Bombyx mori: one gene and its partners. Each later gene encodes a partner of the first gene's protein in a complex. Links are inferred from orthologs where the notes say so. Each region holds a gene or a part of one and is shown in the gene's direction. Other genes may lie near its edges.

Evidence for each region.
Region 2: DNA-directed RNA polymerases I, II, and III subunit RPABC1 (region 1) and prefoldin beta subunit share a complex: the UniProt entries of both Homo sapiens proteins name them as parts of the PAQosome complex. The link is inferred for Bombyx mori from reciprocal best matches to the Homo sapiens genes POLR2E and PFDN6.
Region 3: DNA-directed RNA polymerases I, II, and III subunit RPABC1 (region 1) and general transcription and DNA repair factor IIH helicase subunit XPB share a complex: the UniProt entries of both Homo sapiens proteins name them as parts of the TBP-based Pol II pre-initiation complex. The link is inferred for Bombyx mori from reciprocal best matches to the Homo sapiens genes POLR2E and ERCC3.

What each region holds. Positions count from the first base shown.
Region 1 is NC_085125.1:6,611,018-6,615,897, forward strand, and holds the start of DNA-directed RNA polymerases I, II, and III subunit RPABC1, read left to right. Parts: upstream 1-1,620; 5' UTR 1,621-1,815; coding exon 1,816-1,872; intron 1,873-1,943; coding exon 1,944-2,032; intron 2,033-3,005; coding exon of another isoform or gene 3,006-3,083; exon of another isoform or gene 3,084-3,133; intron 3,134-3,388; coding exon 3,389-3,567; intron 3,568-4,436; coding exon 4,437-4,599; intron 4,600-4,880. Other genes in the region: leptin receptor gene-related protein, read right to left, coding at 3,006-3,083; piggyBac transposable element-derived protein 4-like, read right to left, coding at 159-329, 867-874. UniProt on the Homo sapiens protein: DNA-dependent RNA polymerase catalyzes the transcription of DNA into RNA using the four ribonucleoside triphosphates as substrates.
Region 2 is NC_085112.1:4,987,665-4,990,501, forward strand, and holds prefoldin beta subunit, read left to right. Parts: upstream 1-1,348; 5' UTR 1,349-1,479; coding exon 1,480-1,848; 3' UTR 1,849-2,337; downstream 2,338-2,837. UniProt on the Homo sapiens protein: Binds specifically to cytosolic chaperonin (c-CPN) and transfers target proteins to it. Binds to nascent polypeptide chain and promotes folding in an environment in which there are many competing pathways for nonnative proteins.
Region 3 is NC_085117.1:11,792,397-11,794,679, reverse strand, and holds part of general transcription and DNA repair factor IIH helicase subunit XPB, read left to right. Parts: intron 1-1,151; coding exon 1,152-1,341; intron 1,342-1,934; coding exon 1,935-2,077; intron 2,078-2,283. UniProt on the Homo sapiens protein: ATP-dependent 3'-5' DNA helicase/translocase. Binds dsDNA rather than ssDNA, unzipping it in a translocase rather than classical helicase activity. Component of the general transcription and DNA repair factor IIH (TFIIH) core complex.

The sequences.
Region 1 (4,880 bases):
ACATGATCTGTGAAAAATTCAACTCTCTAGCTATCACAGTTCTTGAGATACAGCCTAGTGACAGACAGACAGCGAAGTCTTAGTAATAGGGTCCCGTTTGGGTACGGAACCCTAACAAGTACTTAAAATTGAAGTTCCATTAAAAACAAAATACTAACGCGCAACTTGCCGACGGCCTCTGTTCAACAGAAGACCGCGGGCACCCCCTTCCTCTACCTCGTACCCTTCCTTTTCGTGAACCACCACGTGTGGCAACACTCGAACGACCTCCGCGAGTGCGCACGCCTGTTGCTCTTGCACTGCCTCCCCTCACCCGCAAACTTCTCTCACTATGAAAATCCAATCAAAAGCGCAACATAAGCCACATGCAGTTAACTGGGTGCAGGAAAAAGACATTCAAATTAGTTTTAAATAAAGCGCAAGTGCAAAAGAATAAAAAAAGAAAGAAATAAAAAAAAAGTTTTCCAAATTATTTGTCAAAGCAAACCAAACACCATATAAAAGTAGATCCAATAGTCTTATCCATATTATGATAGCGAGCGAACAAAATGGCCGCGTTGCCCGAAATAACCTAACTGTCATCGTCCCGGTCCGGTCAGTGGAGGGACGCGTGTTATTTTATTCGATATTTCTCTAATTAATGAAAGATTTGAATAAATTTACAATTTGGAAAAGGTTAATAGTTAAGTAATTATTTCATTGTTTCCATAAATTACACAAATCTACCAATATTTGGTGCTAAATGAATGGTTTGTTTGGCCGACATGAGCGTGTGCTAAGCCTGAGTAGGTGTTAGATATCAATGTTTTACCACGAAAAGCGTGTCAAAACACGTACAAAAACAAAGAAATATGCTTATTACATACCTTTCCATCGCTTTTTCAAAACTTTATCTCGTTATACTGTCGTCAACCACTTAAAAACACTTGAAAATAGACGCACAAACACTTCCAACTACTCCGCGTTAGCAAGTCCGGAACAATGAGGTTTTTTTTCTTAAAAACATATGTAAGTTTACTTAAGAAAGCGTCTATATTTTGTCTTTGTTTAACGTTCTAGCAGTTGTATGCGTTAGAACACTGCAGAACGTGTTTTAAAGTGCGCTTTTCGAATGAAAACAGCGGCATCAAATTACTGACCGTTCCGGTCGCCTGCCAGCTAAGCGTTTATTTTATCATGACCGGAGCGGGAGGCTGCCACCATGGCACATTTTTTCCGATGGCGTCTGCCATAGGAAGGGATATTGCAGACCATGATTCATTTTATGTAAATATGATGACAATATATTAAAAATGAATAATTCCAAGAATACTGCCTTTGAATATGGATAAAACAACAAAGCTTAAAGATTTAAAATGGATATTAACCGTATAGTTTTTAGAAAAAGGGGGCTGAAAACAGAATAAAGTGGCCGAATTCAGTTTCTCGGATTCTTTCATTTATTAAATTGTCAGTAAATTCCGAACAGTTAATGAGAGGTTCATTAATTTCATCTCATCTAACAACTACGGTGCTGTATATATCTCATCAATTAATAATATTTTAAGTTATTAATTTTCATTCCAAGATCAATTATTTTTCAAAAGATAGACATGAATGGCTTTTGCTATAAAAAAATCTATTGTATGGACTGTGATTCCTTTGCGTATCTGTATTCTGTCAAAAGAAACAATATTCTTTAAAAACATTACAGGCATAGATTATACACTTATGATTACAGGATTTACAGGTAATAATACCTAGCTATAACAAGAGAATCAATGAAATTATCGTTTGTAGGAAAGGGATTTATCAGTTTTAAGTAGATTATAAAACATGGATGATGACGCAGAAACTTACAAACTCTGGCGTATACGTAAAACTGTAATGCAGGTGAGGTTATATTTGATGCTATTCATCTTGTTGGTTGGATTCTAACAGTAACCGAGGCATAATATTTACAGTTGTGCCATGACCGAGGATATTTAGTCACGCAAGATGAATTGGACCAAACTTTAGAACAATTTAAAGAGCAGTTTGGCGATAAACCAAGGTATACTATTGTTCTTATAACCTTATTAATCTGATACGCTCTAGTGTAGCCAGAAAGGCATTCGGACTTCGGGCTACGAGCAATGCATCCATCAAAAAATTTATTAATTTTATAATTTGCGTATACAGTATTAAATAAACTATCATGCAGTGACACATTTATGCGTCTGGATTGAAGATCTGGCAACGGTTAATACTAATCAGCAAGATCAGTGGAGTTTGCAGACCCCGTTTCTATTTTCTTTTCACTGTTATATTTTGTTGTAATTTTAAAGTTGTCCACTATAATTGAATCTGCTACATGTTTTTTTATGGTGGGATAGCACTGTACCGTTTTATATTGTCAAAAATAAAATATGTTTAGATCTTTCCATTGTCAATCCATATGTATAATGTTAGGGTTATTCAGTTTAAAGCTAATTGTAGGTAGCTTGAATTTTTATATTTTTATATTTAACAAATCAGCCTCAATGGTCCAAACATTAAATTAACTTTTAATAATTTGTTAATTTGTCCCTACATATGTATTGTACAAGTTGTTTAATTTCAAGTCAGAATAATTTGAATCCAGTTTGAAGTACTGAGTAGCTGCAAGTGAGGTCTCTTGTATGAAATCAAAACACAAATATGGATTTGTAAACACTACTGACCCATCATTTTGGTTCAGGGGTATTGTAGTACTGCTAAGTTTCAGATCCAGCTACAGAGCAATTCAACGTTTTTGTCTTAACACTTGTTATCTTTCTTAGAAGCTTATTGGAATCTCCAAATTTAATAGGTTCTCACTATTAACATCTTTAAATTTACTTTCAGTTTCTTTCATCAGTTTCATTGCTCAAAAACTTTTTTGGAACATTAACAGCCTTTTAATAAAATGTTCATAATTTGAAAAGTCAGCACAAGTCGGCAAACTTTTAAGGAATCACAATATAATGAGTGTTTTCTACCAAAATTATTGTGTACTAAATTGACTTACCAAAATATAACTGAGCTGTCTGAGATAGAGAGCGATGTACTAGACTGTTTTTAAATTTATTATCTAACATTTCCATTTCTTCAGCTGTCCTTTCAAAATTCTTGAAAGTGTGTAATTTAGCATCGAAATATTTCACAATGAAATGTCACTTTGACTTATAAAAATGATTGTTGTCAAAGAGAATAATGTAAATACTACCTCTATAGTAAATGATTATGTAGTTACTGTGTGAATAATTGGAAATTTATGTTACCAGATCATTCAACTCATGGCCAACAATAGAAATCTGTGGGTTAATGATGAAATTAATATGAAAATCATCAACTTTGAGTTGATTTATAAAGAAATCTAGAAATTAATACAGCATTTTAATTTTTTTAGTGAGAAAAGACCAGCAAGAAGTGATTTGATTGTGTTAGTGGCTCATAATGATGATCCAACGGATCAGATGTTTGTTTTCTTTCCTGATGAAGCTAAAATTGGTATAAAAACTATAAAGACATATTGTACAAGAATGCAAGAAGAGAATATTCATAGGGCTATTGTTGTTGTACAGGCGGGTATGTATCATTAACTAATCAAAAGTATCCTACATAGTACTCGAGAATGCACATTTTTCTCCAAATAGAGAGCAAAATAAGTGTCTTGGTTTTTACTCCTTAATTGTAAAACTTTGTGGTTTTGATTGTATTTTGGAAACTCAATGTATAAATATAGCTTTAGTGGTATTTTCATAACTAGCCACTTCCTAATGTGTACATATATCGATATATATTTATTAAATGCATGAAAACCTTATCTGCACACTGTTCATCCATACTATGTGGAACCATGCGTTCATCGTCAGTGCGTTTCCAGATATCTTTTTGCCACATACCATCCGGCTCTGGAATTAAATCTACTCCACAGTACTTCCTGAGCACTATGATATGTCATTCTTCAAACGTGGCTTGAAGGTGTTACTCTGAGGTAGGCAGCAACTTGGCTGTGGGCTTGCTGCTGTCCATGAGCGACGGAAACCACTCACCATCAGGCTGGTCGTATGCTTGTAAGCCGGTTACAAAAACTAAAATAAACCTCTGCAATCTACAACTGCTATTTTCAAAGGGAATTTTGTATTATGATGGCAGCCATCTTCGCAATATCAAAGAGGAATACTAACAGTAATTTCTTTGAAATTGATGAGTCAGAGATATGAAAAAAAAAACTCGTATTTGCATAGTGATGAACCATAAAAATTTAATACATTGCAAAACTCCAAAATTAGAATACGAAAATCTTCAATTTGTGAATAAACCATAAAGGTAATTTTGATCGAGAAGAGTAATGTTTTGATGGTTCACCTATGTACATAAATTAAGTAGCAAGGAATCCCAAAAATCTCTCGAAAAAAAAATCAAAATAAAACTCATATTTTCGTAACTTTCAGGAATGTCACCATCAGCTAAACAGTCACTGGTTGATATGGCACCCAAATACATTCTAGAACAGTTCCTTGAATCGGAACTACTGATTAATATAACCGAACACGAGTTGGTACCGGAACATATTGTGCTGACACCGGATGAAAAGCAAGAACTCTTGGCAAGATAGTATCCTTTACTGACAACGTTTAGAAACTAGAAATAGCAATATTGATAGAAACAACAAAGATAGATTTAAGTTTCGGAAATAAATCATTTGACCTCATGTCTCAGATGAGTGGTGACATTGGGTTGTCTATAGACTCTGATAACGACTTAAAACTAGACGGGCCGTGAGCTACTACTGGTGGTAGGACCTCTTGTGAGTCCGCACGGGTAGGTACCACCGCCCCGCCTATTTCTGCCGTGAAGCAATAATGCGTTTCGGTTTGAAGGGTGGGGCAGCCGTT
Region 2 (2,837 bases), on another chromosome or scaffold:
TGATTTATACACGTTATTTAGTGTTTGAGCCATCATATATATTAAAGGTAAGTCTCAGTTGTTATTGGTTTTAATGTATTTGATAAAATAAAAATACATGTAAAAATCTGTTGTTTTTGGGGATATTGGGGACGTCTTAGGTACAAATAACAACGAAAAAGGGGTCAATTGGGATGAGAATACGTGAAATGGAAACGAGCTGAGTATAAATAGGTACAGGTTTGTAGGGTTGTCTATGTAGTTATAACAATATTTTTTAAATTTGTTGGTAAAAATCTTGTTTATTCATGATGTTTTTGTCTAGAACTTTTATTCAAAATTATCAATGTGTTATTTTATTGTTTGGTAAATACTTATATTATCAGTTACGTACTGTTTTCTATTTTTAGATAATGCCTCGCGTGTACGTATTAAAGAGTGCAAAGCCTTAAAAGAGATATGATCCCTTAATATTAAAAACAGCAATAGAAGCCTTTGAAATTGGGAATAAGTCTTTAGTTGAAATAGCTAAGCAATTTAATATAAGTAAGTCGATTTTGCACAGACATCTAACAAGAACAATGAAATGTCAAGGTGGACAAAAATGTCTAAGTAATACATAGTAAAATATTTAATATTTGTTCAGAGTGGGGGTATTCATCTGATTAATCCATGGAATAACCAACACACCTAATCTCTTAACCCAGATAAAAATATCAGCCCCTAAGTACTTACCAAGAACGAAAAAATATAAACCGTTTATAAGAAAGCTTACTCTCCTTTGGGACTACAATAATGTCCACGGTAGCATGGTCTCCGTCAATGTTCATTCGGAGTTGTCCGATTACGCTGAACTAATTTTAAGTGATGAAATAAATTTTTTTTAATTGTATCACAACTTACAGGACAAATCTGTCGCGGATCATTTCTCAAGTAAATATAAATTAATCATAAGTAAATAAATGTAATCAAGTTGATGATCACTTTGTTGGTGCAACTAAATAAATAAATAAATTAAAACCAAGTAGTGGCAGCCCTAGCAAATTTCTCATTTCGTCCCAATTAACCGCAATTTTCGGGTAAATAGGGATTACACCTATTTTTGCTTTTTTTGCTTAAACTGGAATGCTAGTTGCATAGTTTTAAATTGGACAACAAAGATGCCCCCAAGACTCAATCATTTCGATCCTGATATAGCATTATATACATCAACATCTACCTTAAAATTGGTCATAAAGTTGGAATTTGTCCCTAATCGCCCCATTTTACCGGTACGTAGTGACACTTGAAATTTTTTGTGTATTATCTATGGTTAATTTCAAAATCAATGTCAGACAAATGACAAAACCATAGAGAATACACACATAACCCATAGATTATACACTTAATATATTTGAGACATAACCTCAACTAAAATTTTTGAGCAGGTGAAAAAAAACGGAAAAGATTTCTGTATTAAACTGTTTATTTTCTATCAAATCATACCTTGACTGAAACACAATGGCGGAAGAAATACAAAAAAAGTTTCAAAAACAGCTCGAATTATTTCAAGGTGTTCAAAAAGACATAAAGAAAGCGGTCACTCAGAAACAACAATTAGACAGCCAGTTAAATGAAAATAAAGCAGTCAAAGAGGAACTAAAACTCTTAAGAAAAGATTCAGAGGTATACAAACTCATCGGACCCGTATTGGTGAAGCAAGATTTGGAAGAAGCCAGACAAAACGTCTCCAAACGTATGGAGTACATTAGCAAAGAAATCAAAAGAACAGATGATCACATATGTGCTTTAGAAAACAAACAAGAAGCACTGCAAGAAAACTTAAATAAACTTAGAAATGATCTTGGCAAACTAAAACTAAAAGCTTGAAAAATGTGTGAATTAAAAGTAAAATATTTCTATTCTTCTATTATGACTCACTTGTATGTTTAGAGAACTACTATTACAAATAAAAATATTACACATTAATAATTTAATGTATGTTTAGCTATGCAATAATCATGAAAAAACTGCTGTGTGGCATTACACTAAACTTACCTCTTCCTTTTGTTAACTCAATATAAAAATAAAAAATCTTACTGAAAGTAAGTTTTTATTTTACTGCCATTGCAGGCAGATGTTTGTGGCCCTCCTGATGTCACCATCACTCATAGACATCAGATATGCCAGGAGCACAGCCAAACTGCTGCCTATTATTTACTTATTATTTATTTTCAAAACTAAAATATTTTGTTACTTGTACATATTTATTTTTGTGTGTATAAGCTGAAAGTTTGCAAGGTAATTGACGGTATAATGAGTACCATTAGTTTTGAAACCAGATTCATCTTAGAATAATTGTTCGCTTCTATTACCAGTAGTTTTGTATATTAACCTAAAACCATATGACAATCTAAAAAAAATTGGGTAATTTTTTGTTTTTAAATACCTATTACAAATGTTATGTATTGCATTTGTATACAAATGGTCGGCATAATTTAAGCTGGCAGTGGAGAAAGTGCACAAATGTAATTTAATAAACTTATTCTAATTATGTTTCCAATGATTTATTCAATAATTAATACTGCTCATAAAGAATACAGGCATAAAAAAAATTGTGTCTTGAATCTCAACATAGTGCAACTTAATCACGTTCAAGATACTCATTCTCCTGCATTAAGCTACATAAAGCTAAAGGCATTGAAGTTACAATGTGTCACTATAAAAAAAATACACATTTATAAGCTTTTGTACCCAATTTAAGAATTATATTGTTCCTAATGAATCCCAAGAAACTGTAACTTTAGTATTAATAAAGTTTGTAACTTTCTAAAAAAAATACCTTTTCTTTTTATGCAGTCTACATTTCTTGAGTCACT
Region 3 (2,283 bases), on another chromosome or scaffold:
TGACCACGACAATATGTTTATGTAGCGATAACTCTACAAGGAACAAACAACACTGGCTGCGGGATTGACTATCATAACCCACAGAAACAGCCCACTGAGTTTCTCGCCGGATCTTCTCAGTAGATCTCGTTTCCAATCCGGTGCAACACTCCCGGTTTAAGCCCCGTAAGCTCACCTACTAGTTCGGTAAAACTAGAATACCACTCGAGGTTACTAGAATAGCTATAATAAAAAACGAAAAAAAGTTGAATATACAACGTTCCAATGTTTTCCATTTATCCACAATTAAATACATATGACGGATAAGGGCTACTTCCAAAGTGTTTTTAAAATGATGACGTCGTCGTCGTCGTCGAACCTGTCACTTGCGACGAAGGGCTCGGCGAGTAAATTAATCCACAGACACATCTCATTGAGTTTCTCGTCGGATCTTTTCAGCGGGTCTTGTTTCCAATCCGGAGGTAGATTCTGCGAAACACTGCTCTTGCTAGGGCTAATGTTAGCAACGTCGTCAGGTTTGAGCCCCGTGAGCCCACCTACTTACTTGTTACGCTACGCTGACATAGCCTCTCAAAGCTTATAATTAGCAGCAGTATCAGCTTAGGTAGGAAAAAGAAAAAGTACCTAATAGTGCGTGCTTACAACACCTATCTACCAGTTCACTTTGAATTGCTTGTCTCTTAACATCATATCTCATGCTTTTGAGAATTCAAGACTCAGACGTTTAATTCTCCAACGTTGTCGTCTCAAGGCTATCAGCATAAGTAGGAAAAAAAAAAAAAAAAAAAAGTTGTCGCGATCGCTCATGCGTATTAAAGTACATATACGTCACGTAATGTAATTGCAATATTTGTCAAGAAATGGCTTTCGTTGTCGCGTCTGTAACAACACGAACACGCAATGTAACACGAACATATCTAACGGACCGTTGACCCATATGCGTCAGCTAGTTTTGTAATCGCTATAAAATAAAATAAATAATTTTCGTAAAAATAAAAGTTGTCATGTCTGAAATCGCCAATCGCCGTGTAAAAATTATATTAAAAAAAATCGTTCAAAACTAATAAATGAAACATACAATTTGAATGGTGCTTTTGCTTTGCAATATTACGTAGGGTGTAATTTGTAATGAAACAATCTCCGCGTTGCAGCCATACATCTACGGGCCGACGTCCCAGAGCGAGCGAATACAGATCCTCCAGAATTTCAAGTTCAACCCTAAAGTGAATACGATATTCGTGAGTAAAGTCGCCGACACCAGCTTCGATCTGCCCGAAGCGAACGTGCTTATACAGATCTCTTCGCACGGAGGCTCCAGGCGACAAGAGGCACAGAGATTAGGTAAAGTTAACATGGATCTAAATTTATATTATAATATTTGTAGTAACTATATTTGAGACCTTAGAACTTATATCTCAAGGTGGGTGCCGCATTTACGTTGTGGATGTCTATGGGCTCCAGTAACCACTTAACACCAGGTGGGCTGTGAGCTCGTCCACACATTTAAGCAATAAAAAATAAAACTTCATCATCACTACATAGTATAAAACAAAGTCGCTTTCTCTGTCCCTATATTCTTTAAAACTACGAAACGGATTTTGATGCGTTTTTTTTTAATAGATAGAGTGATTTGAATAGGATGGTTTATATGTATAATAACATCCATGAAATAGTGGAGAAATCAATAATAAATTACAGTTTCCGAAGCGGAGCGAGGGCGGGTCGCTAGTATTGAATAATTAATGTAAAATCGCTTTGTGCGCGACGAGAGAATTTTCTAGATCTTGAATGGAATGTGGTAAAATGTGGCCAAAATAATAGAAATATATCTTTCTCGCTCTTTTTGGCACTAAATAAAGTTTAGGTTTGACGCGTCAACATCTTTGCAGTCGAGAGTATTCACTCATTTATTTAGTCTCCTTTGTAATTTCCAGGTCGTATTTTAAGAGCAAAGAAAGGCGCTTTGGCCGAAGAATATAATGCCTTTTTCTACACTCTAGTATCACAAGACACCTTGGAGATGGCTTACAGTAGAAAAAGACAAAGATTTCTTGTTAATCAGGGTTACAGTTATAAGGTAAATATGATATATGAGGCCTATAAAATCAAAGGCAGCTAAACGCCTTAATGTCGTAATATGTATTAACAATGGCTCTATCTTGTTTAGTTAGTTGAACATGCTTTAGTGTTTTCATGTTATAACAAATGCAGCTAAATCTCTAACAAATTTAGTTCAAAAAAGTTAAGTTTACTCTGTATTAAGTACTAATAAACGAAGTTTTA